Notamacropus eugenii: one gene and its partners. The protein of the gene in region 2 interacts with the protein of the main gene of each other region in a biochemical or structural test. Links are inferred from orthologs where the notes say so. Each region holds a gene or a part of one and is shown on either strand. Other genes may lie near its edges.

The links.
Region 1: the proteins of PRKN (region 2) and UBE2J1 form a complex in vitro, tested with the Homo sapiens proteins (4 studies listed by BioGRID). The link is inferred for Notamacropus eugenii from reciprocal best matches to the Homo sapiens genes PRKN and UBE2J1.
Region 3: the proteins of PRKN (region 2) and UBE2V1 form a complex in vitro, tested with the Homo sapiens proteins (4 studies listed by BioGRID). The link is inferred for Notamacropus eugenii from reciprocal best matches to the Homo sapiens genes PRKN and UBE2V1.
Region 4: of the proteins of PRKN (region 2) and MFN2, one has a biochemical effect on the other in vitro, tested with the Homo sapiens proteins (2 studies listed by BioGRID). The link is inferred for Notamacropus eugenii from reciprocal best matches to the Homo sapiens genes PRKN and MFN2.

What each region holds. Positions count from the first base shown.
Region 1 is NC_092873.1:163,063,555-163,071,006, forward strand, and holds the start of UBE2J1 (ubiquitin-conjugating enzyme E2 J1), read right to left. Parts: upstream 3,019-7,452; 5' UTR 2,464-3,018; coding exon 2,433-2,463; intron 1-2,432. UniProt on the Homo sapiens protein: Catalyzes the covalent attachment of ubiquitin to other proteins. Functions in the selective degradation of misfolded membrane proteins from the endoplasmic reticulum (ERAD) and is essential for cells to recover from ER stress.
Region 2 is NC_092873.1:256,731,386-256,738,490, forward strand, and holds the start of PRKN (E3 ubiquitin-protein ligase parkin), read right to left. Parts: upstream 3,007-7,105; 5' UTR 2,870-3,006; coding exon 2,863-2,869; intron 1-2,862. Other genes in the region: PACRG (parkin coregulated gene protein), read left to right, coding at 3,537-3,692. UniProt on the Homo sapiens protein: Functions within a multiprotein E3 ubiquitin ligase complex, catalyzing the covalent attachment of ubiquitin moieties onto substrate proteins. Substrates include SYT11 and VDAC1.
Region 3 is NC_092872.1:516,863,111-516,870,045, reverse strand, and holds the start of UBE2V1 (ubiquitin-conjugating enzyme E2 variant 1), read right to left. Parts: upstream 3,007-6,935; 5' UTR 2,530-3,006; coding exon 2,265-2,529; intron 1-2,264. UniProt on the Homo sapiens protein: Has no ubiquitin ligase activity on its own. The UBE2V1-UBE2N heterodimer catalyzes the synthesis of non-canonical poly-ubiquitin chains that are linked through Lys-63.
Region 4 is NC_092876.1:51,427,427-51,434,464, reverse strand, and holds the start of MFN2 (mitofusin-2), read right to left. Parts: upstream 3,023-7,038; 5' UTR 2,798-3,022; intron 2,078-2,797; 5' UTR 1,951-2,077; intron 1,472-1,950; exon of another isoform or gene 1,378-1,471; intron 1-1,377. UniProt on the Homo sapiens protein: Mitochondrial outer membrane GTPase that mediates mitochondrial clustering and fusion. Mitochondria are highly dynamic organelles, and their morphology is determined by the equilibrium between mitochondrial fusion and fission events.

The DNA of each region.
Region 1 (7,452 bases), about 94 Mb from region 2:
TCTTGAAATAAAGATCGTTGGTTTCCTAAAAACCAACTGGAAAAAGGGGTGGAGAGGGGAATGAACAACAGCTGAATAAACCATTAATATTTCCTAAAGATTAAACTTAAACTGCATTGTTTTTTTTTACCATTTCACAAATTTTGCCAGTGCAATGGCAGTACCTGGTGATCAATCAACAGACACTTATGAAGGCGCAGCTCTTTCACAGGCATTCATCTATGTTCTACTGTATATATGCCCAAGGATTTGTAGAAGGGACTGGAGTAGTGGCATCAGGGTTACTTACTGCTTTGAATTCCTTCTCCCCTGATGAAGGGAGCCTACATAGGTATGTATGTAGTTACACAGGAGGCACTCTGCAGTGGAAATAATTCTGGACTTGGCAGTTTAGAATTTTGGGTTCCTGTTTCAAGTCAGGGCCTAAGAGCTATATGACCATAAGAGATTTCATTTTTCTGGGTCTCTCCTTCCTCATCTGTTAAAAAGGTAAATTTATACTGAGAGATATTATAAGAGAACCTGCCTTAGAGTCAGGAAGACTCTGAGACTTAACTCTTGACTCTGAGACACAATACCTTTGACCCTGGGCAAATCACCTTAACCTCTCTGAACCTCAGTATCCTCATCTATAAAAATGGAATAATTGTTGCACTTACCTAACAGAGTAAACATGATGATTAAACGAGATAATGTGTATAAAACATTTTGAAAACCTCAAAGCACTGTACATGAATAATAATCACTATCATGTGAGCTACAGTGCTAACATGTAAACTCCATTGTTTATCTTGGCTTTGAACAGTGCCTGGCATAGTGGGCACTTAAGTGCCTGTTCACTGATTCTTATCAGTGGACTTTTTCCACTTCCCCCTCATTCTCAAACACTGGATATGGATTGATATGTTTGAGGGTCAGGACAGTCTGGAGCTATGGTTTCCAACTGCAGATGAGGAAATTCCCTCTAAAACTGCAGACACCTGATCTGCAACTTACAGTATCAGTATTTGAGATTAGGTCACTCCTAGAGAATCCCACAGCCAGGATGTGTTCAATACAGGACAGGAACCCAATTATCCTTTATCCCAAGGGTAGGTAGGTAGACAGGTAGATAAATACAGCTACATACACATATGTAAAATATGTACATATATGAAGTACAAACACAACAACAAACATATGAAGTAGCATGAAATAGATGACCTATAAGGTTTCAGGGTTTAATAGGACCTTAGGATTCATCCAGCTTATATATATGTATATAGTCACACTACTCACTTCACAGACAGGGTTGGAAGGCAAATACCTAAAGATAATCTATTAGAAAATGCTATGAGTAAAAGCTTTCAAGTTGAAAAACCGTGGTGGACTCTAACAACGTAAGACCAAAGGAATATTTAAGAGCTGAAAATGACTCTAAAAACAGGAGTTTTTAATCTTTTCTGTGTCATGGACTCCTTTTAAATAATTGAAGGAAATACTGTATTTCAGTCAAAAGTTTGTGAAAATATAGACAATGTGTTTCCCCATCCAAGTTCCTAAGACCCAGCCCCACTTCAAAACAAAAAATCTATCCGACTCCGGCTTAAGAATCCTAGATCTAGGTCAACTCCCTCGTTTTACAGACGAGGAAACTAAAACCCAGAAAGGATAGGTGAGCTCCCCAAGGTCACCCAGGCAGTAGGTGCTCCAAGCTCCACATCTTCAGGGGATCACAGCTTTGGGGGATGGAGGCGACCTTTGGGGTTCTCCTGCTGAAACGCCACTATTTTACAGCGGAGGGCACTGAGGTCCGGGCAGAGTAAGGGAGCTGCACAAGGGCACAAGGGGTCCTCCGACTTCCTCCTCACCAAGGCGCTCTCCTTGGGGAGCGGGTCCAGGTCCAGACCTGCCACAGACCCCTCTCCCGTCTCTCCCGCACTTCCCCGCAGACGCCTCGTCCAGCGCGCACACGGACCAGCACCCCCGACCACGGCCAAGAAGGCGGGGCGGCCAAGTTGCCCGGGAAGTGTCCAGTCCGAGGGCAGCAGCCCGAGGAGGCGGCGCGGGCGCCCTGCGGGGGGGTCCCACAGTGTCCTGCGGCCTCTAGGGTGCCGCCCCTTTAAAAAGGATGAGGAGGAGAGGAAAAAGAAATGGAGAAGGCCAAGTGGGGTGAGGCCGAGGTCGGGAGGTGGAGGCAGGGCCCTCTCTCCATAAGCTCGGGCTGGGCCGGCCAGTGGACGAGCGGACGGCTCCCCGGGTCCCGGGTGACTCCGAGGGGTCATGCCCAGGACAGGCCGGACATCCGACTAGAGTAAGGAAGGGGGCCCTCGGGCGGTGACAGGTGGCGGGGCGGCGGCCCAAGGCCTCCCCGGCTGCCAGTCCGTCTGTCCGTCCGTCCGCCCGCGCATGCGTGCTGGGAGATGGAGGGGAGCGGCTGCTTCCTTCCCTACCTGGGCTCTTGAGGTTGTAGCGGGTCTCCATGGTGGCTTTGCCGTCCCGCTCCGGCCCCGCCACCGCCTCCTGCTCCCCGGCTCCGCGACGGGCTGCTGGCCCCGGCTCCGGCCCCGGGGATTTCCTGAGCCGGGGAAGCCGCGTCCCCCAGTCCCCGCCCCCGGCGGCCCCAGCGAGCGCCAGGGATACGCAGCGTTGGCGGCGGCGACGGCGGCGGGGACTGTGGCTCCGCCTCCCTGCCTGCGCTCCGCCCGCCGCGCCAACGCCTCCTTCCGCGCGCCGCCACCGCCTCCTTCCGCTCCGCCTCCTGGGGATCCGCCTCGCTGCCTGCGCCGGGCCCGCCCGGCTAGTGTCCCGCCCTGCGTCTCCGCCCCGCCCGGCCCCCGCCTGGAGGCCCGGCCCTTGCGGGCCGTCGCAGGCTTGGAGAGCCGGGGGTGGGGCCGCGGCCTGAGCTTCCGTTGTCCCGCCGCCGTGCCCGCCCGCCCCCGTCGCCCCCAATGCGGGGCCGGGTGTCGCGCTCCCTGCCCCGCGCTCGGTTTGTGAAGTTATCCTGACGTGGCAGTCACTTCGTGGCGGGCCGTGGGCCCGACGTGGTCACGCTTCCGGGCCGCCTCCCGCGCTCGCTGCAGGCCAGGGAGACTCGGTCGGGCTAGTCCGAGATCCGTCCTCGGTAGAGTCTAACCCACCCACCCCGCCCCTCACTGTGCGAGGGAGGAAACTGAGGTCCAGAGGAGGGAAAGTGACACGCCCGAGGTAACATAGTAACTAAAGGGAGGCGCGTTCGCCAAACCTTCTTTCTTTGGCCCTGTGGTGAATGAAGCCTATAGACCCATTCTCCAAATAATGGTTTTATATAATATAAAATAAGGCATATGGAATTACAGCGGAAAACAGGTTATTGAAATGAAGATGAATTTATTTTTTTGGCCCTTGAAACCAGATTTTACGAACCCTTCATGGAAGCTGACACTTTTTGTTTCATAGATGAGGAAACTGACCAGAGATTAAGTAGCAACAGCTATGTAAATAGCACAAAGAAAAATGGATGGAAACTGAATGCTGAGAAGTAGGACCAAGCTTGACCCCAAAGAAGGGAGGCGGAAATCAACAGACATTTATACCATGTACCAGGCACTGTGCTAAGTGGGAGACTGTGACTGCGTCCAATTGCATAGAACATGGGACTTTGGGTGCGTTGGTTAGTTTTATAGAATTTACCGTGAAGGATAGCCCTCTGGGAGGGGGATATGTGAAGAATGTAGGTGACAGTAACAAAAGCTATCAGTCAAAAAGATTTAAATGGCTTCTGGAGGTTGGGGGGTAAAGTAGAGGCAGCTAGATGAGAAGAGTGCTGGCCCTAGAGTCAGGAAGATTCCTCTTAATGACTTCAAATCCAGCCTCAGACATTTACTAGCTGTGTGACCCTGAGAAAGTCACTTAAACCTGTTTGCCTCAGTTTCCTCATCTGTAAAATGGGCTGGTGAAGAAAATGACAAACCACTCCAGTCTTTTTGCCAAGAAAACCCTAAATGGAGTCACAGAGTCAGACCAACAACAACAAAATGGGTATAATAATGGCACCTATCTCTCAGGGTTGTTGTAAAGATCAAATGAGATAATATTTGCAAAGTGTTTAACATAGTGCCTGGCACATAGTAAGCACTATATAAATGTTAGCTCTTATTGTTTCATATATATATATAATTTATATATGTTAATATAATGTTTATATATTTATACATATAATGTAACATTATATATATATATAATTTTATAGATTTAGTGATAACTTTTACAAAGTAATCTTTTACAAAAATACCTTCTCTCTCTGCATCCCCACCCAATCCTAGCAAGTCTTCCCTTGTGAGGAAATTTTTTTAAAAAATTTAATAAAACCATCCAATACACATGGAAAATGTCTAATATGATCATGTACAATATGATTCTTTCAATGAAAGAAGGGAGATATATTTTTTCTGTTGTTATCTAATCATTGTAACTACATAAAATTTGGTTTCATTTGCTATTCTTAATTTTTATGTTGTCATAGTTATGTATGTTGTTTTTATGCGTCTACGTACATCACTGCATTACAGTTCATGCAAGGCTTCCCGTATTTCTCTGAATTCCTCACTTTCATTTCTTACAGAGCAACAGTGTTCAACTTTAGCTGTTGCATTGTTCAGTCATGTCCAACTCTTCATGACCCCATTTGGGGTTTTCTTGGCAAAGATACTGGAGTGGTTTGTCATTTCCTTCTCCAGCTGATTTTACAGATGAGGAAATTGAGGCAAACAGGGTTACATGATTTGCTCAGTCACACAGCAAAGTATCTGAAGCTGAATTTGAACTGAGGTCCTTCTTACTCCAGGTCCAGTACTCAATCCACTTAGCCACCTAGCTGCCCCATAGCTGCTATGTGCTGTAGTGGAAAGAGCACTAGCGGTAGAGTCAGTGGGCCTGGGTACACATCCCACCTTTGACGCTTAACCACCAGTGTGACTACAGGCTAAGCAATCAACAATATTTATTAAACACTTATGTGCCTGGCCTCCTAGCACATGCTTCAATCTTGGCAAATTAAGGCTGAAAGATCACTTGAACTCCAGAGTTCTGAGCCTCAGTAGGGCTAGGTAGTTTGAATCTAGCACCAGTGAGGTACAGGGGAAAGGGGAGGCTGCGTAAGGAGGGGAGAACCAGTTCAGGTCAAAAATGGAGCTGGTCAAAGCTTTCATGCCAATAAGTAATGTAATTGGGCTTATGAGTGAACTCTAAGCTTCTAGACTGCACCATGTAGAAAGACATAGTCTTAAAAAAAAAAAAAAAGGTACTTACAGGCACTGTGCAAAAAGAAAGTTCCTACCCTCAAGAAGTATACATTCTAATGGCGGAAGAGGTGACACCATAGAAATAACTAGGTATGTAACTGAGGAATCCAGAAAAACTCCCTGCATAAGTGTAGGATTTAATAGCTAGGATCTATATAGTGATTTAAGGTTTACAAAGCACTTTACAAAAATCTTATTTGATCCTTACACCAATCCTGGGAAGTAAGTGCTATTATTATCCCCATTTTATATATGAGGAAACTGAGGCAAAGGTTAATGACTTCCCAGGATCACACAGCTAAGAAGTATCTGGAGCCAAATTTGAACTCTGCTCTTCTGGATTCCAGGTTCTGTTTTGGTTCTGCTCGCTATGCTATTTCAGTAGTTCTGATTTGAGCTGAATCTTGAAAGAAGCCAGGAAAACTAAAGGCAATTTTAGAGGATGTTAGAGGAAAGACTAACAATTATAGTTAACCAAAAGTGGTATGAACTGCATCCAAAGGCTGTGAGTTTCTTCCACTAACTTCCTTCAATTAGGGGCTCAATGATCACTTATCTGGGATTGTTCTAGGTAGATTCTTTTTTGGGTAGAAGCTAGACTTTAGTTGGCCTCAGAGGTACTTTCCCATCCTGTGATTCACTAGTCTAAAGCATAGGCTCATACTGAAGAAGACCTCATCTTCCCATTAGTGTGCTGTTGAGAAATCCACTGTTTTCTTCCCCATCACCTAAGAGGAATATGACTATAATCTCGTCCTCAGTCTATAGCCACCACCCTTCTCCCTTTCCTCTTGCCCCCAGCACATAGGTTGGGTGATGTTCTCTACATTTAGAGGGGGAAATAGATACTCGGGTGGCATTAAGTTGCACTGCCTTTTACTATAGAAACCCTACAGATGTGAGCACAATGAAGGTTTGGCCCTAAAGCCATTACACAAGTAACATTTCACTATGTTCTTGTATCACCCAGGCAATATTCACAGCATCGAGGGCCACTACAAAAATGCCAACTTAGTTCTGAATCACAAAGTTTAATATAGAAGGCAGAAGAAAAACATTTATTCAGACACCAGAAAGCCAAATCCATCATAGTAACCAAGAAGTCAATACATATTAGCACAGCAGGGGATAAAGCCATTCCCAAGCCTTCCCCATTCTCTTCCTGGCCTTCTTACAAGCAAACACTCACAAACCTAGCTATGCCTGCCTGCCTGCATCTGCTCTCCTCTGCCCCAACCACTCTCACCAACTTCCTCCCACTTCTGTTCCACCCATTCTGCAAGCACCTCCCACCACATGTGACTTAGGCTTCCATGTGATTTAAGCAGGTTACGTGGACTTATTAATGAATGGGAAAGATCTTCCCATTTAAATTACCATTACAGTTCACTATGGGAAATAAATCTGAGAACAACTATTGAATAACTAAAATCTGATGGATCAGCCTAGCCTAGTGGATAAAGCACTGGATCTGGAGTCAGGGAGAACTGGGATTCAGATTCTGCTTTGACACTAGTTGTATGACCATCAACAAGTTGCTGTGTCTGAAGTTCCTCATCTATTAGTGAAGGATCTGAACTCAGTGACTTCAAAGATCATCTCTAACTTTAAATCTATGATCCTAAGACATGAGTTTTTAGTCTCAAATCTACCACTAAATAAACTGTGTGATCTTAAATAAGATTTCCCTTCATCTCTAGACCTTAGTTTCTTCATCTATAAAATGATCCATTCTGACTCTTAAAAAAGATACAAAAAATTATAACATCAGGCCTCCCATTTCAAATGTTATCCAGAAATACCACACTTTCTCAAACATTTTAAAGGTTTGTATCAAACAAGGATCTCATAGGAGTTGGTCTGACATTTTTTCTTCTTATAGCTTCAATCAGCAGTCTACGTGGAAACAACTAGGGCTGGGCATGGGGGAGAACTGTCAGGTATAGACATTCTATAACATTTTTCCCTATATATCTATTGAATGCCTACTTTGTGCAAAGAATTGTACCAGTTGTGGAAGATGTTTTTTAAAGTATAAATTTAGTTCCTGCCATCAAACTTGAAATAATATTGGGGAGAAGTAACATAAAGAGTTAAAAATGAGTCATATAACAATTTAAGAACTATTCAAAGATAATAAAATTATTTACTGGAAATTTGACCATGTGTTTCTAAAATGAAACCAGAGGAC
Region 2 (7,105 bases):
TGCCCTCTTGGCTTTTTTACATATGGCATTTAAAGTAATTCACAGTAAGTCTGCAAAGTGCTTTTCCCACAAAAACCCTGTGACAGATAGTACAAGTAACATGGCCATTTTAGAGAGGACTTTTAATTCAGAAAAAATTAAATTGTTTGTCCACAGTTATATAACTAGAAACTGTAGAGTTTAAAATTTCAACTCAGGTCTCATGACTCCTAGCACTTTCTGTAACAACATGTTCCCTCTTTCCCCATGTTTAATCATTTGTTTGCCATTGTTATGTTAAAAAAGAAACTTTTAAAGAACTATTCTGAGGCATCTGCAAGCAATCATTCATGAGGGTCACAACATCATGCAATCAAAGCATCAGCTATATATATATGGTATTCATTTCTTGTTTCCCTAAGTCACCAGAACACTATGGGACGTGTTTTGTCCAACTACTGTGGTTTTTTTAATTACATAATCACTTTTCAGTTGATAATCTAGGGTTAAATGAATTCCTTAGACTGAAGCCAATTGTAATAATTTTAGATATTTATATATGTATACTTATAAATATATAATTATTTAAAATATACACACATGGCTATTTTCAAACTTGTTGATTTTCCTTACTTTCCAACACTTCAGGGGCTTGAAATTTTGTTGATGTGGTCCTTCTTCCATTGATACTTATTGCAACCCCTCTATGAGTCATATTTTAATCTTGACTGCATAGGACAACAGATGAAAAACTACAGGGCACCTCAAAGATACTCCAGTTCAACTTCTCTAATTTTACATAAGAGAAAACTGAGGCCCAGATGACTTAAATGACTTACCCAAGCTGTAAGAAGCAGAGCTATGACTCCAACTCAGGTTCTCTGACTTCAAATCCAACACTTTTTCCCACTTAGCCATGACTTAGTCTTAGCCTCTATAGCCAAATAAATATGATCACTCTATAGCCAACTCTCTGATATACTTAGGATGATCCCCAGAATACAAATAAAAAGCCCTTCATTGGGCCATATTCAGAATCCTTTTGGCTTGTTAAAATTTACCAGGTTATATGCTCTACCGGTCATGAGTCCATCATCATATTCACTGAAACATAAAATAGTGGAGTACAGTGGAAAGGTTGCTAATTAAAAGGCACAAAAAAATATGGCAATTCATAATTCAGAAAATATCCAAAGTACATTAGACCAAGTACTCCAAACTTTCCTAATCAGCGCACCGGTATTTCTTTCCCCCCTCCTGACCTATTCCCAATGTGAATTTTATTGTAAATATTTATTCTTTGGACTTTGTTTTTTACCTTTGTCAAGGTTTACATGTTGCCTGAGTAGTCTGCATAAAACATTAACTTAATCTGGTTTGTGACAATTACCTGCTAGACTTGGAATTAAGAGAACTGGTTTGTAATCCCAGTTTTACCACTAGCTTCAAGACAATGGGAGTTACTTTAACTTTCTGGTTCTCCATAAAACAGAAACATTCATGTCAACACTATCTAGCTCCCAGGGTAGTAGTAGGGAAAGTGTTTTGTAAACTCTAAGGAGTCATATATAAATGTGTGCTATTAATAATATTTTTCAAACATTAATTTCCATGAATCATTGACTGGAAAGCAGTACCAAGATAGAAGGGGTAAGGAAAGGACTATGATTCCAAAACTCAACATAGCTTATTTCTACATAGTCCCAAAGGAATATGATACTCAGGTATTTATTTCTTCAGTGACAGGAAGAATATTCTTTTACATTGTATCATTAATTTTATAATAAAATTAAAATGTTTAAGAAGGGACAGCTTCTCTAAAAATAAACAAGCACCACACATAAACACAGTAATATGTTTTCTGAACATTTATGGATGGAACTGGCTCCGAATATTCACTTGCAACAATTAAAGATACTGTATCAGTAATTCTCAATGTGCCAACAATAATGCAGAAACCAATTCCATAAAACCCCAAACACTGGTTGTGAGAAGTCATTGATAGTCCCGTAAAGATGGTCCTAAGCATATTTTTTTCCATTAATTTTTAGGGGCAAATTTATAGGGGTAAAAAAACCAAACAAACACAAACTTGCTCACTATTTTGCCTAACAATACTAAGAATACCTCTAACTTAAAAAAAAATTAAAAGCTGTTTTCCATCTATCACCGATCTCAATTTGTCCTAGACTTCAAAACACCCCCTCAAATAGGGCATTAAGAAAAGCTAGTCAAAGACTTCGAGAAGTTTAAAGACCACGTGGGAACAACCTTTCTCCGCAAGGCTGACGTCACTGCAAGCCTATCACTTTCGTGTCCTGCTTCTTGGGGGTCTCCCTGGGATGGTCAAAGGTTGCTTGCAGACAGATTAGGGCAAGGAAGGTGGGGGAGGACAGGTGGTGATGGGGAGGAAACATGAGCATGAGAAAACCAGGGGCGCCTTTGACCTTCGAAAACCTCCACAGCTTCTGAAGGTCGGCAGGGTTTGCGGGGGTCGGGGTCAATTTCCAGCGGGCACTTTCAGGGTGACGTTCTTTGGCTGGCCTCCTTTTCAGGGGAAGGGAGCAGTGGTCTCATACAACCCGCGGGGGAAAGGAAAGGTGGGCTCAGCACCTGCGTATCGGCTGGGGGTCGGGGGAAGGGGGCACTTCAGCCTTCAGTTGGGGGCAAAACCAGGGGAGCCAAAGGCCAGAATCGCCTGTTCTGGCCTCTACTGGGAGGGGCAGGGCTCTGGGACACTCAGAGCACCCCTCACCTCGCTAGGTGACCCAGACCGTCCTTGACAGTGACCAGCAGGGTCTCACACCTGCGTCAAGAACCAGCACATGGTGGGGGAGGGAAGAGGCGGCGGAAAGCAGCTGTACCTGGAGAACACCCACGTACCTATCATGGTCACTGGGCAGGTGGTGGCTCTAAGGACAGACGAAGGAGGCTTAACATGCGCGCAGCGGCCTGCCCCGAGGGCCCGCGCTCGCCTCCTACAACCAGCGTTCACAGCTTTAAAGCCTTCAGCTCCCCGCTCCCTTTGTCCCCGCCCCCTCCCCGACCCTTCCCTACCCCGCCCCCTGAAGATGCGGGGGCGGGGGGGGGGGTGAAGAGGAGGTAATGCGCACGCGCATGTATACGCACACGTCCCTGAGGGCTTCTGGGAGATGTAGTGCGGAACCTGCCGCTCATTTTCTAATCCGCCCCGCCCCCGCCCTTTTGCCGGCTCTTGGCCTGGAATGGCTACGTCATTGGGAGACTTCCGCTGCGATGTTGATACGTTGCCTAGCAACCTCGCTGAGGACCTTTGGAAGCCTGTTGCAGCTGCAGAATACGGTCCTGCCCCCCTTTCTGCCCCTCCCCTTCCCCAAACTCCCTCTTCACCTTGGAGCTGCCAAACAGCTGGAACTAGAAGCAAACCCGGGCAGGACCTGGAGGGTTGAATTCATTACCATTACAGTGCCGTTTTTACTCTCCATAACCCCACTCCGGCTGTGTCTTTCCCTCCCTCCCCTCCACCGCCCAGTCATTCTTAAAGCCCTGGATGTGGGAACAAGACATTTCCTAGGAAGATGGTGGCAGAAAAAGAGACCCTGAATCTAAATAAAAGTCCAGAGAAGATGATGAAGAGGACCAAACTCCAGCCTCCACAGCCACTCCCCGTGCACCAGCCGCACACCCTGGTTTCTGACGGCTTCACTGTCAAAGCCATGATGAAAAATTCAGTCGTAAGTGATAAATCTCCTCGATTCCATGCGCTCTCTCCGAATCAGGCAGGGTACACGGAGATACAGGTGCACGGTCGCTATCCGGAAAGGGTTGGGGCAAGTGAAACGCGGTGCCCGTCATCCTGCGGTGATTGAATAATAATAAAAAAAATAACGTTTTGATTGATAAGCACCTTCCCAAGATCTCACCTGATAGTCTTCAGGCCTCCCACCCTGCTCCAGCTGCTGCTGGTCTGAGGAGGATTTCCTTCCCCTGCCCCCACCCCAGATTCAAGACCTTTCACTTCATGAATTCCGAGTTTTACATGAATCTCTTGTAAAACTGTCAAGCCGACATAAATTCACTCAACTATCAGACAAAATAATATTAAAAGCAGAAAATTTTAAGCTGTCCAAACCCCCATTAAATATGGATGTATTACTGAAGTACAAAATATTTCAACTGTTCTTCCTAATACAAACTTTAAAAGCCTGGCCCCCTCCAAAGATGCCCAAAAACTGACCTTTCAATTAGATTTTAATCAAATTTATGTCTGCCTATTGGTATAATCAAAATATTATTTTGATAGTATTTTTAATACTATGTTTGTGCTCTTTAGAAATAAAATAATCTTAAGAGCAAAAAAGAGGGAAAATAGTCGGAGTATACAGTAAAACAAAGTGTATGGATGACTTCTTTACATAAGCTTAATTAATAAATTATGCCTCTCTTTGATAAATGATTTTGAATTAAGTATAACAAACTAAATTTACCACATAATTGGGAATAGAACTTCAAGTAACTAAAACAGCTTTCAAAGTTGTATAACTTACACTGGTAGAATCTGAGTAGTTATACTGGAATTTATCTTTTCTCTAATGTTACATTAAACCCATATACTTATTTGTATCTATGTGTTACTCATACAGTAAGTTTATGAAATGACTACCTTTTGGACAAGACTATTATGATGTTATACATAGTGTCTCATTTAGAATGTGTGTGTGTGTGTGTGTGTCTATGTCTGTGTTTCTTGAGGTTTGGGAAAACAATACATTTCTGTTTACAAAAACCTCATTCTTTTCATTATAAAGTAGAAGTTATACTTAAAGTCAAAAGATTCTCACGTATCACCAACATACAGTACCAAATTTATTCCACTTAGGAAGATGATTTATTTTTCTTTTATCTAATATTCATAATTCCTTGTTCATAACCTATTTTACTAGTTTACTGGAATTTTATAAGACTGTATAAAACATTTTCTGTTTTCTCTTTAATGACATTAGTTCATGCTCATTACAAAGTCATAATTCATAATACAAATCTGTATCTTCCAACATACTTAGACCTTTTGTTATTTAGCATAACCTCTCCTAAAGAGTGTATGGCCTAGTAAAGTCACATATTTCAGTACTTTTATTTTTCACAAATGTAACTCCATCTTCAAATAACAATTCCTTTGAGGAAGATTTCTTATAAATACCTTTTCTTGTGAGGCGTAAGCATCTTCCTTTATTTATTGCTTTAATATATCTCCAAAGTGATTCTGAAAACATGGGTCATTTCTTGTTATTCCTTTTGGTGGAAAGTAACATTTTCTGTGAATAACAAAATACAGAAAGTTTATTTGAAAGTAATAGAAAAGATAGGTAAATAAAAGGGAGGTAAATAATATGTGTGAGCAACTTGTAGTAGCAGCCTGCACCCTACTAAGTGTGATTGGACCAACAGGACTTTCTTCATTTCTCTGGCACTTACACCTGACCATTTCTTTTTTCAGCAATATAGACCTTCCCATGATTATGAAGTTATTAACTCCAAAGAGTGTCTTTTCTAAGGTTTATCTTCAGTCAATGAATGGGATACAGCTTGTATCAGTTTTCAGTGACATAATAATCTAAAACTCTGGGCAACTTCTCTTCTTCAACTCACCCCCAGTTCTTGTGTCCGATTTTTCAGTCTTTAAATAAGTCACAATTACAACGCTCCATATTAAAAACATATGGCAATTTATCCTAAAGAGTTACCATGGGAACTCCTGATGCTCCTTTTAGAATGTTTTGGTCATATAGATATAAATCTGATCATAATCACAGAATCAAACAGATGGACTGTATAAGGAGAAATACTTTATATGTAATCATATTCAATAATAATAAGATAATGTAAAGTTTTTGTAAAATAAAACCATATAATTTATCTTTTTACATTCAAAATCTATATGTATATAGTCAAGCATTCTATGTACCAATATACCATACATATAAATATACCATAAATATAAATTATGTGAATAGTAAATCCATATTATTCTTGTAATTTCTTAGCTTTCATGGAACTTTTTAGTTGTTCCTGAATAGCAAATGACTTCCAAGAAACTCTTTATTGTACTTTGAGTAAGATGATATGCCTTTATTCCATTATTTTGTAATATTTGCCTGAAAGTAGAGATGGGAGGAAAAATGACATGTAAATAAAATGGATGATTTCATATTTTTTCTTCTTTCCACCTAAGCCTCTACACAATACTTTGGCATAGGTATAGATATCTGGAATAGGAGTTAGTTTCAGGCAGATACTGCATGATACTGCAAGGAGATATGCATAATATCCAATTCTTGTCTTATAGTAAGTCTCCATTTCCTTTCTAGCTGAATGAACATGGTGTCAGATCAACATTCAGGGAGAGCAAGGAGAAAGAAAAATAACTTCCCAGCTTCTCTTTTACATACAGGAAATAGCTTAACTCTTGACATGTCTGTGATCCTTCCCTAATTTCTTCATTTCCCTGGGATCTTAAGATAGTGATTGGTGGGAATACAGGGCATTATTTGTTAACTCCACTCACATACCTCTGTTGGGAGATCTTTGAGAATTGTAATTAGTTGAAGCAGGGAAAAAAATAAGAAAAAGTCTTACTCTCATTTGACTTTTTAAATTTACTTGCCCTCATATAGTTACTAACCTGTTCTCATGACCTTGATTGAACTCTGCAAAAATGTTTCTTCTTTGACTATTGTATAACCGTAAATATATAGGCATATAGGTAGAAAATCAAAATTCTGATGATATCGAATCTGTTTTTATCAAAATTATTCTCCATGTTTATATAAACTAGTCTCAGAAAGATTTTATAGAGATTCAAAGGCAAGTGTATGGGTCAGTGGTTGTTGATGTCTGTTCTATCACATGTTTCTGCTAGAAAAAAAAAAAGCTCCTTTTTGGCAAATCTCCCAATCTGATGCTTGAGGGAATTTAAAAATTGTGGTGTTTTCATTATATATTTTCAGTTAGGTTCAATCACTAATTCCACCTTCATATTTATCAATGCCAATATTATTTCTTGTATGGAATATCAGTGAATACTGAGGTAAAAGTCCAAACTTTGTGGTTCCACTATCATTATCAGTGAAAATAAAGCCATAAAAAT
Region 3 (6,935 bases), on a different chromosome or scaffold from region 2:
CAATGCCTGAACTGCTATCCATTGTTAAAACAAAATATTTATGCTAGTATGAATACAATGAATCAAAATCAGTTTTTAACAGCTTTCAAGTTACAGAAAGGCAAAGATGCCCTGAGAAGGGTTTGCTCACTATTCTCTAAGACATCTACATCATCAGCCACAAAGGGTTTCATCTTAATGTATCATCATTTGTTAAAGGACCTTCGATTAACAGCACCTCAAAAAGTTAAAATAAGGTGGCTGTTAAAAACAAGTCCATGAAGACAAAATTGTAAGAAATTATCAACAGGGCAAAGCTGTAACACCATGACACCAATAGCTACTGGGTTCACAATAACACACTACAACTCAGGGCAACCTGACAGAGATGTTATTCAAGTTTGAAGTTTCCCACAGCAGTTTGGCCTGACTCAGCCTTTCTCTTCTAGGAGTGCCTGTTGCAGGAGCTTTGTACATTAATACATCATTATTAAAGTTGCAACCAGCACAAGATCTTCTCCAGTCTATTTCTAAGATGACCCTTTCCGACTTTCAGAAGTCAAATTCTATTGCACTGAATATCAAATCAATCAACTGCAGCTCTGGCTGTCTGATGTGGACAGTCATTAGAGGAGGAGGAGGAGTAAGATTCAGATGCCAAGTTTACTGAGGATGACTCCCAGGCAAGACTCATGACAATTCTAAGGTTCATTTTTCTCATTTCTAAGATGAGGATGATATCTGCTCTAACTACCTTATCTGGAAGTTGTGAAAATCAAATGTTTAATCAAACGATTAAAGCAAAGTACTTTACACATCTCAGCTGTTATCACTTACCCTCCAGGGCTTTGAGAGGAAAGTGCTTTGTAAACTATAAAATGGAAATAGGATCCATGATCAATTCCTCGCTGTTTATGGGGATGGATGATCACAGAAACATGCTTTAGGGGCACAAATCATGCTTGGAAAGGAAATGACAGTAACAATTATACAGAAACCAGAACACTAACCTCTCTTGCTTCCTCACTTCCACCTTTCATCTCACCTCCTGGAATCCCTATTTTTCTTCAAGGTTCAAGTCAGGTGTTACCTGTAGAGGTCTTTCCTGATTACCTCTGGAATCAATATCTTTTCCTCCTCAAATGACTTTGTTTTTACATATATGTATCCTTTGCCCCCCACCCCAAAGTTAAGTCTCTCGAGGAGCTTTCAATTTTGGTACCATCAGATACAAAGGCACTGGTCAGTGCTTAAGTCTTCTGAATTAGATTCTTTCCTTCCTCAGCAATTTCCAGCCACCCTGTCTCTTCCAAATCTGATCCTAACATCCCAGAAGGCCCCTAGTGTAAGGGTTGACCTGCTCCCACCCCATTTCTCAGAAACCAAATTCTCCCCTAGACTACTTTTTTATCACTCTTTCCACCCCAACAAATCCTTCCATGGTTCTTCCCCCTGTCAACACACCCCCTCCAAGATTCCTCTGTGCCCCAACACACAAACCCCATGCACCGTTCCTCCTCCCCCAACACCAGAGACCTCCGCATGCCTCCCCAACACACACGCACCCCGCTCTGCAAAGTTCCCCTCTAAACACAGACCCCCCCTTCACGGTCCCTCCCCCCAGATCTCTGCAAGTGTCCCCCCCAACAGATTTCTACAGGGTTGCCCCCCAGACACAAAGACCATTAAAAGTCGCCTCCCCAACCCGAAAGAACCCTGCACGGTACCCCCCCAACACAGACCTGTGCACCGTGCCTTCCCTCAAACCCATAGCCTCCAATACCGTACCCCCAACACACCGACCCCTGCAAGGTCTCCGACCCCCTCCCTTCCTCTCCCCCCAACACACCGACCCCAGCCCCTGGCAGCCCCTCCCCCCGGGGCGCTCTTCCATCCTCCCACCCCACCCCCTCTCCGGTGCCCGCGGCCTCTCCGCGCCCCAGCCCCTCGCTTCCGGCCCCCGCCTCCGGTGCGGCTGCCACAGCTGGGGCCGACACACCCACCGCGCCCGGGGCCCGGGGCAGCCGCCGGCACAGCCCGCCCGGAGCGCGAGCAGCCCCCCGGATCCCCCCGGGCTGAGAGGCCCCGCGAACCAAAGCCGAGGCCCCGGCGCCCGGGCGCCGCCTCAGCCTGCGGCCCCGCTGCCGCTCGGCCCCCGGAGCCCAGCCCCGGCCTCCCCCGAGCCGCGGCTCGCGGAGCCCGCCGGGTTCCCCGCGGCACAGAGCCCGTGCGGGCCCAGCGCCGCATCCCCCGCTGCTGGCCCGGGCCCCGGCGCCCCCGCTCACCCGAGCCCGTGGTCGCCGCCATCTTGCGTCGCTGCCGCTCGGAGTCCGCCCCTTCTTCTCCGTCCGCCCCTCCCTCTTCCCTCGCCCCCCTCCCCGAGAGGGGTTCCCTTCTCCGCCCCGCGGCCTCGCCGCGCCATGACGTCACTTCTGACGCCAGCGCGGCGGACCGACGCAGGCCTCCGCCAGGCCGCGGAGAGACCAAAAAAGAGAGAAGCGCCCGGGAGGGCGCGGCAACCTCAGAATTCAAAGTGGAGCGGAAATGCATGCCCGAGCGCCGGTTCTGGGAAGTGAGTTCTTGAGGTGTCGGTAGTAACGACCGAGGACAAACAGGCTTGGTCGGGTGCAGCTGTGCTGGGAGCAGGAGGCTCTGCCAAAGCGGCCACGTGGGTGCTCGGCTGACACCCGGGGAGGGCTCCTCCAGGAGCGTCCTGCATTCAGGATGTCTTGGGGTCCTCCCTGTGATCCCCCTTCGCCAAGTGAGGCTAATGGACTTGTTGAGCACGTCAGCCGCAGGTGGAGCGTCGACTAGCACCCGGGCTTCCCCGATCCACGTCCTGGGCGCTCCGAGGGACCCAGAAATGGACGAGAAGTTGGAGCACGTGGGAACCTCCGGGAGGCCTCGGCCGCGCTCTTCGCCTTACAGGCGAGGGGACCGAGGCCGGGCGGCCAGCCCGAGAGGCGGGGGCTGCATGGTGCGTGGTAGGACCCAGAGCTGCGGACCTCCCGCCCCGCACACACGGCTGGCCTTCCCCCGCTGCCCCTCCAGGAGCCTGAGTGGGTGGGGCTGGGCTAGTTCTCCAAGCTTCTTTCCAAATCCGCGTTCTCCGATTCCAGCTGAAATCATCCGATTTTTTTTTTTAAAACGAAAAAAGGAAGCACAGAATTTTTACCCAATAAATACAGTGTTTGAGAAAGGTACTTTAGTTCTACATTATGGACAATTTAATCAGAAGGAAGAGAGGAAAGGAAAAGGAGAGCGGAGAGAAGTCGAGGCAGGGCCTAGAAGAGTAAAACTGGCTTCTGTTGTCACAAATACATTTAAGGATAAAATTTAAGTTTTAAAAAAGGACTGCAAGGAGCCAGCCTGTGGGGAGAGAGATGTGAATGGATCATTTAGCTCTACTTTAGATTTTTCTGGAAAAACTTCATGGAGTGGGTATCACCACTAGGGACTGTGGACAAAATGATGGGTTGAACTAAATTATCTCTAACACCCTTTCCAGCTTGAAATCCTACCTTGATAAGACCCAACTCAGCGGGATCGAACAAATAACGTGGGGGTAGGTATTCCTAAGTTCATGGAATCAGTGCCCTTCTAGGTTTCCAGTAAGGGGGAAAGCCACATGCTTCCTTTTGATCCCTGAGGCTGAAATTCTATTTCACACACGCGTATACACACATTTTATGCATATAAATGTGTATGTGTGTGTATACAAGTACATGTATATATGTGTATGTTTATATGTATAGATATGGAGAAAGACTGTTAGAGTTAGTTATGGATGTTTTCACCACTTCCTGCAGAAAATCATGACTGCCTGTTTTGCCATCCACTTTTAAACACAAAGGTGCAATGTTTGATCCAGGTCCCCCATCAGAGGAGTCCAAAACCAGACTCTGGAATAATGAAGTTCACGCTGGGCCCTACTAGCAGGTGGCAAGGTACCCGGCTCACTGAAGACACCCAACAAAACCAAACTTGAGTATGTAGAATATGGAATGTTGGAACAGCTGCATCCATTCCTCATAGGACCTTTATTCCTGACCACTCTGGCCTGCTTCTACATGCCGGAGAGCCTCATGCTATTATTGTAGGACCTACTTATGTATCTTAAGGACCTCTGGGCCTTGCCAAATGTTCTGACACTCCACCTTTAGGACTTCTAAACTCTTCCATCTGTCCTGCAACTGAACATTCTTTTATGTGTTGATTTCTCCAATTAGTGTGTAGGTTCCTTGAGAACAAGGGCTGTTGCTTTTTCTATTCATATGCCCATTCAAGTGTTAGGTGACCCTGTGGAGAGACCGCTGGCCTGGAGTCAGGAAAACCTTGGTTTAAATCTGACCTCAGATACTTACTAGCTGTGACCCTGGGCAAGTCACAAACCTATTTACCTCAGTTTCCTGATCTGTAAAATGAGCTAGAGAAGGAAATGATAAATCACTCAGTATCTTGCTAAGAAAACCCCAAATGGAGTCATGAAGAGTTGGACATGACCAAAAATGACTTAAAGGAACTCAATAAATATTTATTCAATTCTACTTCCTCAGCATCTCTCTCACAATCACCGCTCATCACAATTATTCTAGTACAGGTACTCTTCATCATCTGAACTGTTTTAATAGGCCCTTATTCAGTCTCCCTACGTCTATCCTTTTCCTGTGCCAATCTCCCTTCCACAAAGCTACCAAAGTGATCTTCCTAAAGTTCAGGACCAACTATGTTACTTACCTGTTTAAGGAATTTTTGTGACTCATTCCTTCTAGGATAAAATACAGACTCCTCTGTTTGGCATTTAAAGCCCTACACAGTCTATCTCCAGACCATCTTTTTAGGTTGATTACAAATTGATTCCTTTCATTCAATCTACATTTCAGCCACACTGCTCAGTCACCTCCATGCCTTTCATAGGCTGTATTCATGCCTGGAATGCTCACCTTCCTCACCTCTGCCCCTTGGAAGCCCTTACTCTTTTCATAATCTGTGCAATTTATCCTTCATGAGATGTTTCCTCATTCCCTCACTGTTAAGCATTCCCTACCAAATTACTTTATGGCATGTCCTGTATTTACTCATCTGTGAGCATGGATCCTCTAATAATTCCTTGATAGCATGGCTAATCTCACTTTTTGTATTTGTAGTGCCAGCATTTATCATGGTCATCAGTTAATAAAGATTAAGCACCTACCATGTGCCAGGCACTGTGCTAAGCACTCGGGATTATAAATACAAATTAAAAAAAAAAGACTCCCTGCCCGAAAGAAGTTTATAATCTAATGGGAAAAGACAGCCCCCAAAAAAGGAAGTTGAAAAGTCAAGAGGGTGGGAGAAGGTGCCCAGCTGTGGGCATGAGGAAAAAGTCTAAATCAGTGCAGTCAGTGGGAAATGATGAGATGATTGTTCTGGGCCCCCTTTTTAAATGGAAGTTTTGGAGCTTATGGCTCTGCCTTCAAGCCAATGGCTCCAATGAAACAAATAGAGGATACTAATGAAATGTGGGTACCAAGGCTCATTCAGTCTTGCAGGATGATATTTCCCAATGATGAGGTTTCCAAGGTGCTGTAGCACATGGTAGGTGCTTAATAAATATGTATTGATTGAAACTCTCCCCTGAGATCAGGAGCTTCATTTATCCACAGCATACTTAAGAAATATTTACTAAATTTAGTAAAATAGTAAGAAGCAGATGGAGATATAAAACCCAGGTCCTTGCATTCCAGATCTAATACTCTTTCCACAGCATGTTAGAGACTTCTAACATGAGGACTAAATGAGGACTTCGCTAGGGATCAGTCAATGATAAGGGATATAATCAGGCTAAAATCATATGTGAGTCTCCAAGAATTCTGAGAGTGGGCCAGTAGAAGGAGGGGCAATGATTTGGATAAGGGATGCCCAAGGTGCATGGAGAAGTTAGCAGACTTATTTAACTGTGCTCAGCTGTACTGTAAGGTAAAGGAGGGAATCCTAGCTCCAGGCAGCTGCTAGAAGCATAGTGGGATAGCTTAGGGAAATGTAAGGGAACATCATTTTGATCTTGTATCCAAACATAAACAGGGATTTCTATCCGGTAGAATAGTCAGGTGCTCTTTGAGATGTCAGTGTGAATGTTGTAGTCACAGAGTTTAACATGCCATCACAAATTGTATTCATGCCTCCTCCCAGGACTGGAATGCTCTTCCTTCTTGGAACTTTCAGCTTCCAACAGGACTCAGCTCAATCATGCACATCCTTCAAAAGGGCTTTCTTGATTCCCCAGTTGTTAATGCCCCACCCTTTGCATTTATCTCTTAAATTTGCTTAAAAAAATTTTTTTTTCTATGAAAAGCCTTTTTCCCCCTCCCATTGACTTCTCCCCTTGGGGTGCGTTGTAGGGGCTGGGGGAGGTGTGGATGGGGTTTGTGTTCATGGAGAAGCACTTGTTATAAACATTCATAGTCAAAACAAATAACCACCTCAGCATATTCAAAAAATATGTCTCAATCCAAACTCTGGGTCCATCACTTTGGTCAGAAAGTAGATGATATGCTTCATCATGGATCCTCTAACTCTGATATTCATCTTACATACCACACGTAACTAGATTGTCTCCTCACAAAATATAAGCTCCTGGAGGTCAGGACTCTTTTTATTCATCCAGCACCTTACTACAGTAGCCACTTAATAAATGTTTGTTTACTGTTTGCTAAGAGTTACAGGAGTTCATGATCACTTTTGGCCGAGTGCGTTAGGGGAGGCTTTCCAGAAAATTTGGGAGTTTGAGCTGGGCCTTGAAGGCGGATATGATTTCCATAGAAAGAGTGAGAAAAATGGTCTGCCCAAAGCCATGAGAGTAGGAAAGCTCAGAAAATATTTGGGGAAGAATAAATACAGTTTAAATAGAACAGAAAGTTCATAAAGAGAAGCAGTGGGAGATAAGGTTAGAAAGGTAGATTGTGGAGGACTGTGAA
Region 4 (7,038 bases), on a different chromosome or scaffold from region 2:
CAAGTTTATTTACCACCCAAATTCCAGAGTATTAAAACCTATTTCCCTCCCCATCTCCATCAACCCAATACTTGGCCTTGAGACAAATCCCTAAAGTCAGAGAGGCTTGTAATAAAACAACTTTCCCTATAGGATCTAAATACTTACTTGCCCAGAGGACAAACTACTTCCTGGAAGTGGGTTACCTGAAAACTAGTCAGCATTTATAATGAGGTACATTTTGGTGACTGTGAGACTTAAGGGCTTGAAACCAGAAGTTTTAGTATATGGCAAGTGAAAAGCAAAAGGCAGATGAGTTATCCAAGGAAATGAAATGAAAGCAGCTCAATGAAAATGGAAAATTCTTAGATGTAAAGAGAATGAGAAAAAACGTACAACTCCTAAGAGTTTTCACTCCTGGGCAGTGAATGTCCTCCAGGTGCTCCTAACTGTTGCTCTCAATTGATCTTGTTAACACCTGGGATAGGAAGTGTCTCCCGCTCCCTTGGCTATCCTAGCCAACCCAATCAAGTCTTGGTCTGGCACAAATTTATTTAATCAGGAGAAATGTTGACTTCCTCAACTCCCCAATTTCCATGAAATCTAACTGGCTCCATTTCACCTGACATTTGGGACTCAGGATCTCAAGCATGAATTTATTCCAAAAAAGGAAGCCAAGAATGTGGCAGAACAAACAAAAGGACACAAACCTTCCCTTCCCTAGCTCTGGAACTCCCCACCCTGACTTCCTCCAACACCACCCTTTCAGCTCTTGAGGAAGGTCCTAGGAACGACCTACTTCCACCAAGGCTTTAGGCAAGTGGGGCCCTTCCCTAGGGCATAAAGCAGATAACAGTCATATAACTTCAGGAGGGAGAGAAAGTCTGGGTGCCATAGATAATATGCTGGGTTTGGAGTCTGAAAGATCTAAATTCAAGTTGTGCCACTACAACTTAACTGGGTGGCCCTGGGCAGATCATTTAATGTCTATGTGCATCAGGCCACTCTCTAGAGAATATCTACTAAGTCATGGATGGGTCAGATCTGTTCATAATGCTAGGGAATCACTATTGCCACGTTTACTACAGACCAAGGGCTGTCACACCGCTTAGATGATAAAATTATGCTGAAGTCTGAAACCCTACCTGATTCAAGGCCATTTCAACTTCACTTTAAAGAGGGCTTCATTGGAACAGTTAAGGTCTGTCTAAGTACAGCCCAGAAACAAACCCAAATCTACATCTCAATTGCCACGAGCATGATCTACCCCCAGGCAGATCTGAGTTTAAGTGAGGTCAGTTAGGTATCTTGGGGGATGTAGAAAGGAGAATGAAGCAAAAATCTCTCATGTGGCTTTGGGTATGAAATGCAAGGCCTGAATTCACACCATTTTCTTACCCAATTTTATGCAGAGCAACTTCTAGCAGGAAAAGAGAAAAAAAGGATCCACAGGACCGTCCACACCAATGTAATTGAGACAGAGAAGGAGAAGCTGAGAAATTAAAACGGAAAAAAAATGAAAAGAATGGAGATGAAGGAGAGGTTTTCCAGCCAAAGTCAGGAAATGAACACTATGGAGAAGATGAAGAGTCCCAGCACCGGAGAGAAGGGAGAGACCAGGAAAGAGACCTCTGCCAAAGAGGGCGTATTTTAGATTTACATGCTTGCTTTCCTTATTTCACAACACACTAGATCAGTTCTGTTTGGTTGGAGTGAAATAACATTTCGGTGGAAGCCCCAAATACCGGAAGTAGACACAAGATCTGACCCAACTTGGTTTTCTCTCCCAAAGACAGAATGGGTTCTGGTGCAAAATCTCCCTGTGCCAAGAGTCAATTCAAGGGGTCCCTCACTGGATCTCTGATATTCTCCTAATCTTGTTTACCTCCGGGACAGGGTCGCCCCTGCAGCCACCGCTGGCTGTTCCCCTACAGTTTAAGGCACTACAGGCCCAGAGAAACCAAGACTTACTTTTCCAGAGGTGGATGGTTTTCACAAGGCTGACATCATGAACTCTGCTGGCCTGGAAAAGAAGGGAAGGATCCAGGCATTTCTCACCCTCCCGGGCTGCAGTGCTCAATCCGCCCAGTCCCCAGACCTGGAAGAAGCAAAGGCGGAGAGGTCACCCCGAGGCTGGGGCGGGGGCCAGGCTCCTCTAATCTCCTCTGGCAGGGTTAGGACGCCAGACAAAAACCACCCCGGGCTCGGATGGCTCAGAAAGGCCTCTGGCAAGGACACGTGCCAGCAAGCTGGGGTGGAGAGCAAGGGCAGGGACTGACTGGAGGAGCTCACTAACCCTGGGGCATCACAACACACCTGGGCATGGAGGTGGGCACATGGGCATGCCATGTGCCCAAGGAAGAACACAGGAGGGAGGACCTGGCACAGAGGAGGAGCACGGGTATGGGGGAAAGGGGGCTTGGCATGGGGTTGGGGAAGAGAGGGAGACTGATATGGAGAAGAGGGGGGACGCTTAGCATGTAGGGAAAGGGAGCTGGCATGGGGCAGGGGGAAGAAGCTTGCACGGACGAGAGGGACCTTGTCATGGAGGGGAGGGGGGCCTGGCACGAAGGAAGGGCACTGATACGAAGGGAAAAGGGCCTGGGGGGGAGCCTGGCATGGGGTGGGGGGGACCTGGCATGGGGGCGGAGGCGGTCGGAGAGTGGGGAGGGTCCAGGACTAGAGAGGGGGCGCGGGCCTGGCCGGGGGAGGGCCGTGAGGCTGGGGCATGCGGGCGGGGGTCGGGGGCTCAGCCCCGGCTCTCCGCCGGCCCCCGCGGCCTTCCCCCAGCAGCGCCGCCGCCGCCCCGCTCACTCACCTTCACCTTCTTCGGGCTGCCGCCGCCGCCATGACGCGCCGTGACATCATCAGGCCGCGTCAGGCCGTGGAGGGGAGGGGCGCGTCGTCCGCTCCCCGCCCCCACCACACATACACCCCGACTTCCCGCTCCCTGACCGGAAGATCTTCACGGACTCCGAAGGGGTCCAGAGCGACCCCGGCGCGTGCGGGGCTCGGCCTCTAGTCCAGGCTCTGCGGCTCCGCTGGGCACGTCGGTATCATGGCCCGCCGTGCACTCTGGGAGTCGTAGTTCTGAATAGGAGTAGGCAGTCCCTCCTCGAGGGGCGGGGCCCCGGCTTGCTCTGGGATTGTCAAGGGCGAGGCAGCGCTGGAAAGAAACCCTTCTGAGCCTGACCAGGACTGGCTTCCAGGCCCCACCCGCCCTGGAAAGGGAAGCCTTGGAGCAAATCAGCACGCGTTTGGTAAGTTTATGCAAATATGCACAGTTGTGATGGGGATGGAACCTGAACCCCTAAAAGGATGCGGACCCCAAAAAGGAAAAGCACCTGAATTTTCCCCTACATTCCAGCAGCCCAGATCCCTGGTGCCTCCGGCCGCCTCCGCCCACCCCAGCCCACCTTGACGATTTAGCTAGCTTCCTTGACACTCCTTAATCCCAGGGGGTCTCCCTTTCTCTGTTACCTCCAGACCACCTCAGGCTGCTTGCCACTCCTAGATCCGATCCAGGTCTTCCAACAGTCTTTCTATATCAAATATATCCATCTTATTCTCATCAAATGTGCAGATTCTTAAAATCTGGACTGCTTGTACTGATATCACAAATACCCCAGGCTCACCAGGAGCCTGGCCAGCCTCTATTTGGTGTTACAATAAACTCGCTGCTTGGACTGAAATTCTTGAGTGGTCGAATTCTTTGGAGGCAGACCCCTGCCCTGGACCCTTGGATTTTGGGGTTCTCAGCACCCCCACATCCCTATCCAGACTACAGCAGTTGGAAGACCCAAGTTCAAGTCCTAACTGTATCTGACTACCGGCCTGAGTGACTTTGACCACTGAACCTTAGATGCACCAGCTGCAAAATGGAGATAATATTTGTACCAAGTGCCTATTAGTTGATATTTGCTACAAATATTGTTATATATGAATTATATATATAATATGAATAATTATACATATTAATTATATTACATTAATGTACAAATATGTTTATATAAATAAATTTATATATATTTTTACACAAAATATATTTAATCATGTATTTATATGTAATATATGAATAAAATATATAAAAAGTCTATGTATTACATATACTATGTAGTATCATTTATAATATATACTATGCGATAGTATATATTACAGAGTTCAGTCACTTCAGTCATGTCCAAATTTTTGGGACCCCATTTGAGGTTTTCTTGGCAAAGATACTGGAGTGATTTGCCATTTCCATCTCCAGCTCATTTCACAGATAAGGAAACTAAGGCAAACAGGGCAAAGTAACTCGCCCAGGGTCACACAGCTAATATGTGTCTGAGGCAGGACTTGATCTCAGAAGCTAAGTCTTCCTGACTCCAGGTTTGATGCACTATGGACAAAGCTACCTAGCACAAAGCTCTCTACAGACCTTAGGGCACTCTAGAAGTGTTGTTTATTTTTTATTGTCAAGTTTTTGGGTTTTTTATTACAGTCTTTTTATTAAGCCTTCTCATTTTTATTATAGCCTTCACATGGTGGAAAGCACCCGGGTTTAGAGCCAGAAGACCAGGATGGGAAATCTGGTTCTGCTACTCACTAGCTGTGTGACCTGGGAAAAGAAAATCTGTCTTCCTGAGCCTCAGTTTTCCCATCTGTAAAAAGTCTCCCTTCAAGTTCTAAGCCCTGTGATTCCATTGGAAAAAAAAAACATGAGTTGGTGATACTTTTGAAAGAGGTGGTGGACTACAGTTGTGGAATGAGGCATACATTTTCAGACACAGCCAATGCATTGATTTTGTTTTGTTTGACTTCCTTGTTATGAGGGAGGTTTCTAGGTTGGAAGGGTGAGTCACTGGAAAATACAATTTAAAGAGTATCAACAAACCTTTTAAAAATGAAGATGAGTTGGCTACTGCAGCTTGCTGGAAATATCTCATTCCCTTTGTTCTATAATCTTACGCTTACTGAGCAACTTTCTGACCTCTGATCTGGTCTCCTGCCTTCTGCAGTTATCTTACTAGACATAGCTTCCACTATAAATTCATAACCTGGCACTCTAGGTTACAAATCAGGACCTTGTGAGTTTGCTCAGTATGAATCAGCTCCCCTGAGCCCGATCCACCCCTGAGTAGAATAAAAAAAAAACCAGACTCTGCAGAGGTGAACCCATGGTCTCAGGTGACCTAGCTGACCACCTGGTCTACTCCCAAACTCTCTCTCATTTCAAAAGGGACTCAAAAGACCATCTGACTCAGGCTTTATCTAGGGTTTAGGTAGATCAAAGATTACTGTCCCCATTTTCCAGAAGAAATTATTAAATACCAAATACCAAAGAGGTTGAGTCATTTCCCAGCTAAATATGGATAGAGGTTATAGACAGACAAGAGACCTGCTATTGCTCCTCAAGAATTTCCTGTTCACCTGTTGTTTACTACCAGCAGATGCCTGGGAGCAGGAAGGACACCAGTTCCAATCATCCCTCTCTCCCTTCCCTTAAGAAGATGGTGAGAGGCCTGGGGAGGAGGGTGATTTATATTTCTACATATAAATAACTATGAGCAGTGACTTTAAGTATTTGGAGGACCATCATGAGGAAATGGGATTAGCTTTGTTTTGCTTGGGCCCAGATGCCAGAAGCAGGAACAATGAGCGGAAGAGAGACGGATTTTGGTTTGATGTTGGGAAAAATGTCCTAATAATCCAAGCTATTCAGAAGTGATGTAGACTGCCTCAGAAGGTCCTCAGTGGAGGACTGGAAGGATGACTGCTTGTCAGGATGTGGAGAAGGAATTCTTGGTCAGGGACAGGTTGAACTCTGTGGCCCCTGAGGTTCCTTCCTTCTTTGAGATCTTGGATTCCCTCCACGGCATCCAGCACAGGGCTAGGCACCTAGTCACACAGCACAGAGTATATCTAGAGCCAAAAAGAGACCTCAGGAACCATTTGGTCGAATTCCCTCATTTTACAAGTGAGGAAACTAAGTTCCAGGGAAGATAAGTGAAATAGCATCATAGGGGCTAAAGCTGGAAGGGACCTTAGAGTGCAGGGTCTGGAATCAGGAAGATCCTAGTTCAAATCCAGTCTCTGACACTTAGCTGTGTCACCTTGGGCAAGTAACTTTACCTCTGCTTGCCTCATTTTTCTCAACTTTAAAATGGGGATAACACTAGCACCTACCTTCAATGATTGTTGTGAGGATCCCATGAAAGAATATTCATATAGTGCTTCACGTAGTGCCTGGCACAAAATAGACACCATATAAATGCTATTATTATTATATTTTACAGATGAGGAAACTGAGATCCAGGGCACTGACATGATTTGCAGCACCATAGAAAAAAACCTTGGAAGGACCTTAGGACCACCTAGGCCACCCCTCCTCCACTTTACAGATGAGGAAACTAGTAGAGTTTCCTCTACTAATAGAGGAACTAGTAGAGAACTAGTAGTACTAGTAGAGAAACTCAGTAGTAGCTGAATTTAATTATTCAGTCAGCACAATAACATCCTGTCTCTAACATCAGTGCCAAGGATTGTTTTGAGAATGGCTGTGTTCCCTGAGGTCAGCCTTGTGGGATTAAAGACTTCCTCTGAATGTCCCTAACTCCCCAGCATAGCAACCCCTGCATTTTTAACTGTCTAGCTAAAGCCCTTTAAAAGGAATGCACTCAACACACACACATACATACATACTCTCAGAAGATCTCATTATTGGTTTTGTTAAATTTTAATGTCAAACACTCTTATTTCAAACTGTCCATGTTGGCCAAAGAGCCAGTCAGTGAATGAATGAATGAAAATGTAGCTCTGTGTGTGTGTGTGTGTGGTTGTGTGTGTGTGTGTGTGTGTGTGTCTGTGTGTGTGTGTGTGTGTGTGTGTGTGTGTAAATACCAGCCCTGGTCCCCCATTCTTCAGAGGCTGACCAGCCAATGCAGGGACTGATCTGAAACATAAATAGATTCCTTGTCTGCCTCCTTGATCCTGACAAGGGCTGATGTGACGGTGAACACCTGGGCCCATCCTTGGGCAATAGGACAAAAGATGGATTTGATGCTACACATCAGATTT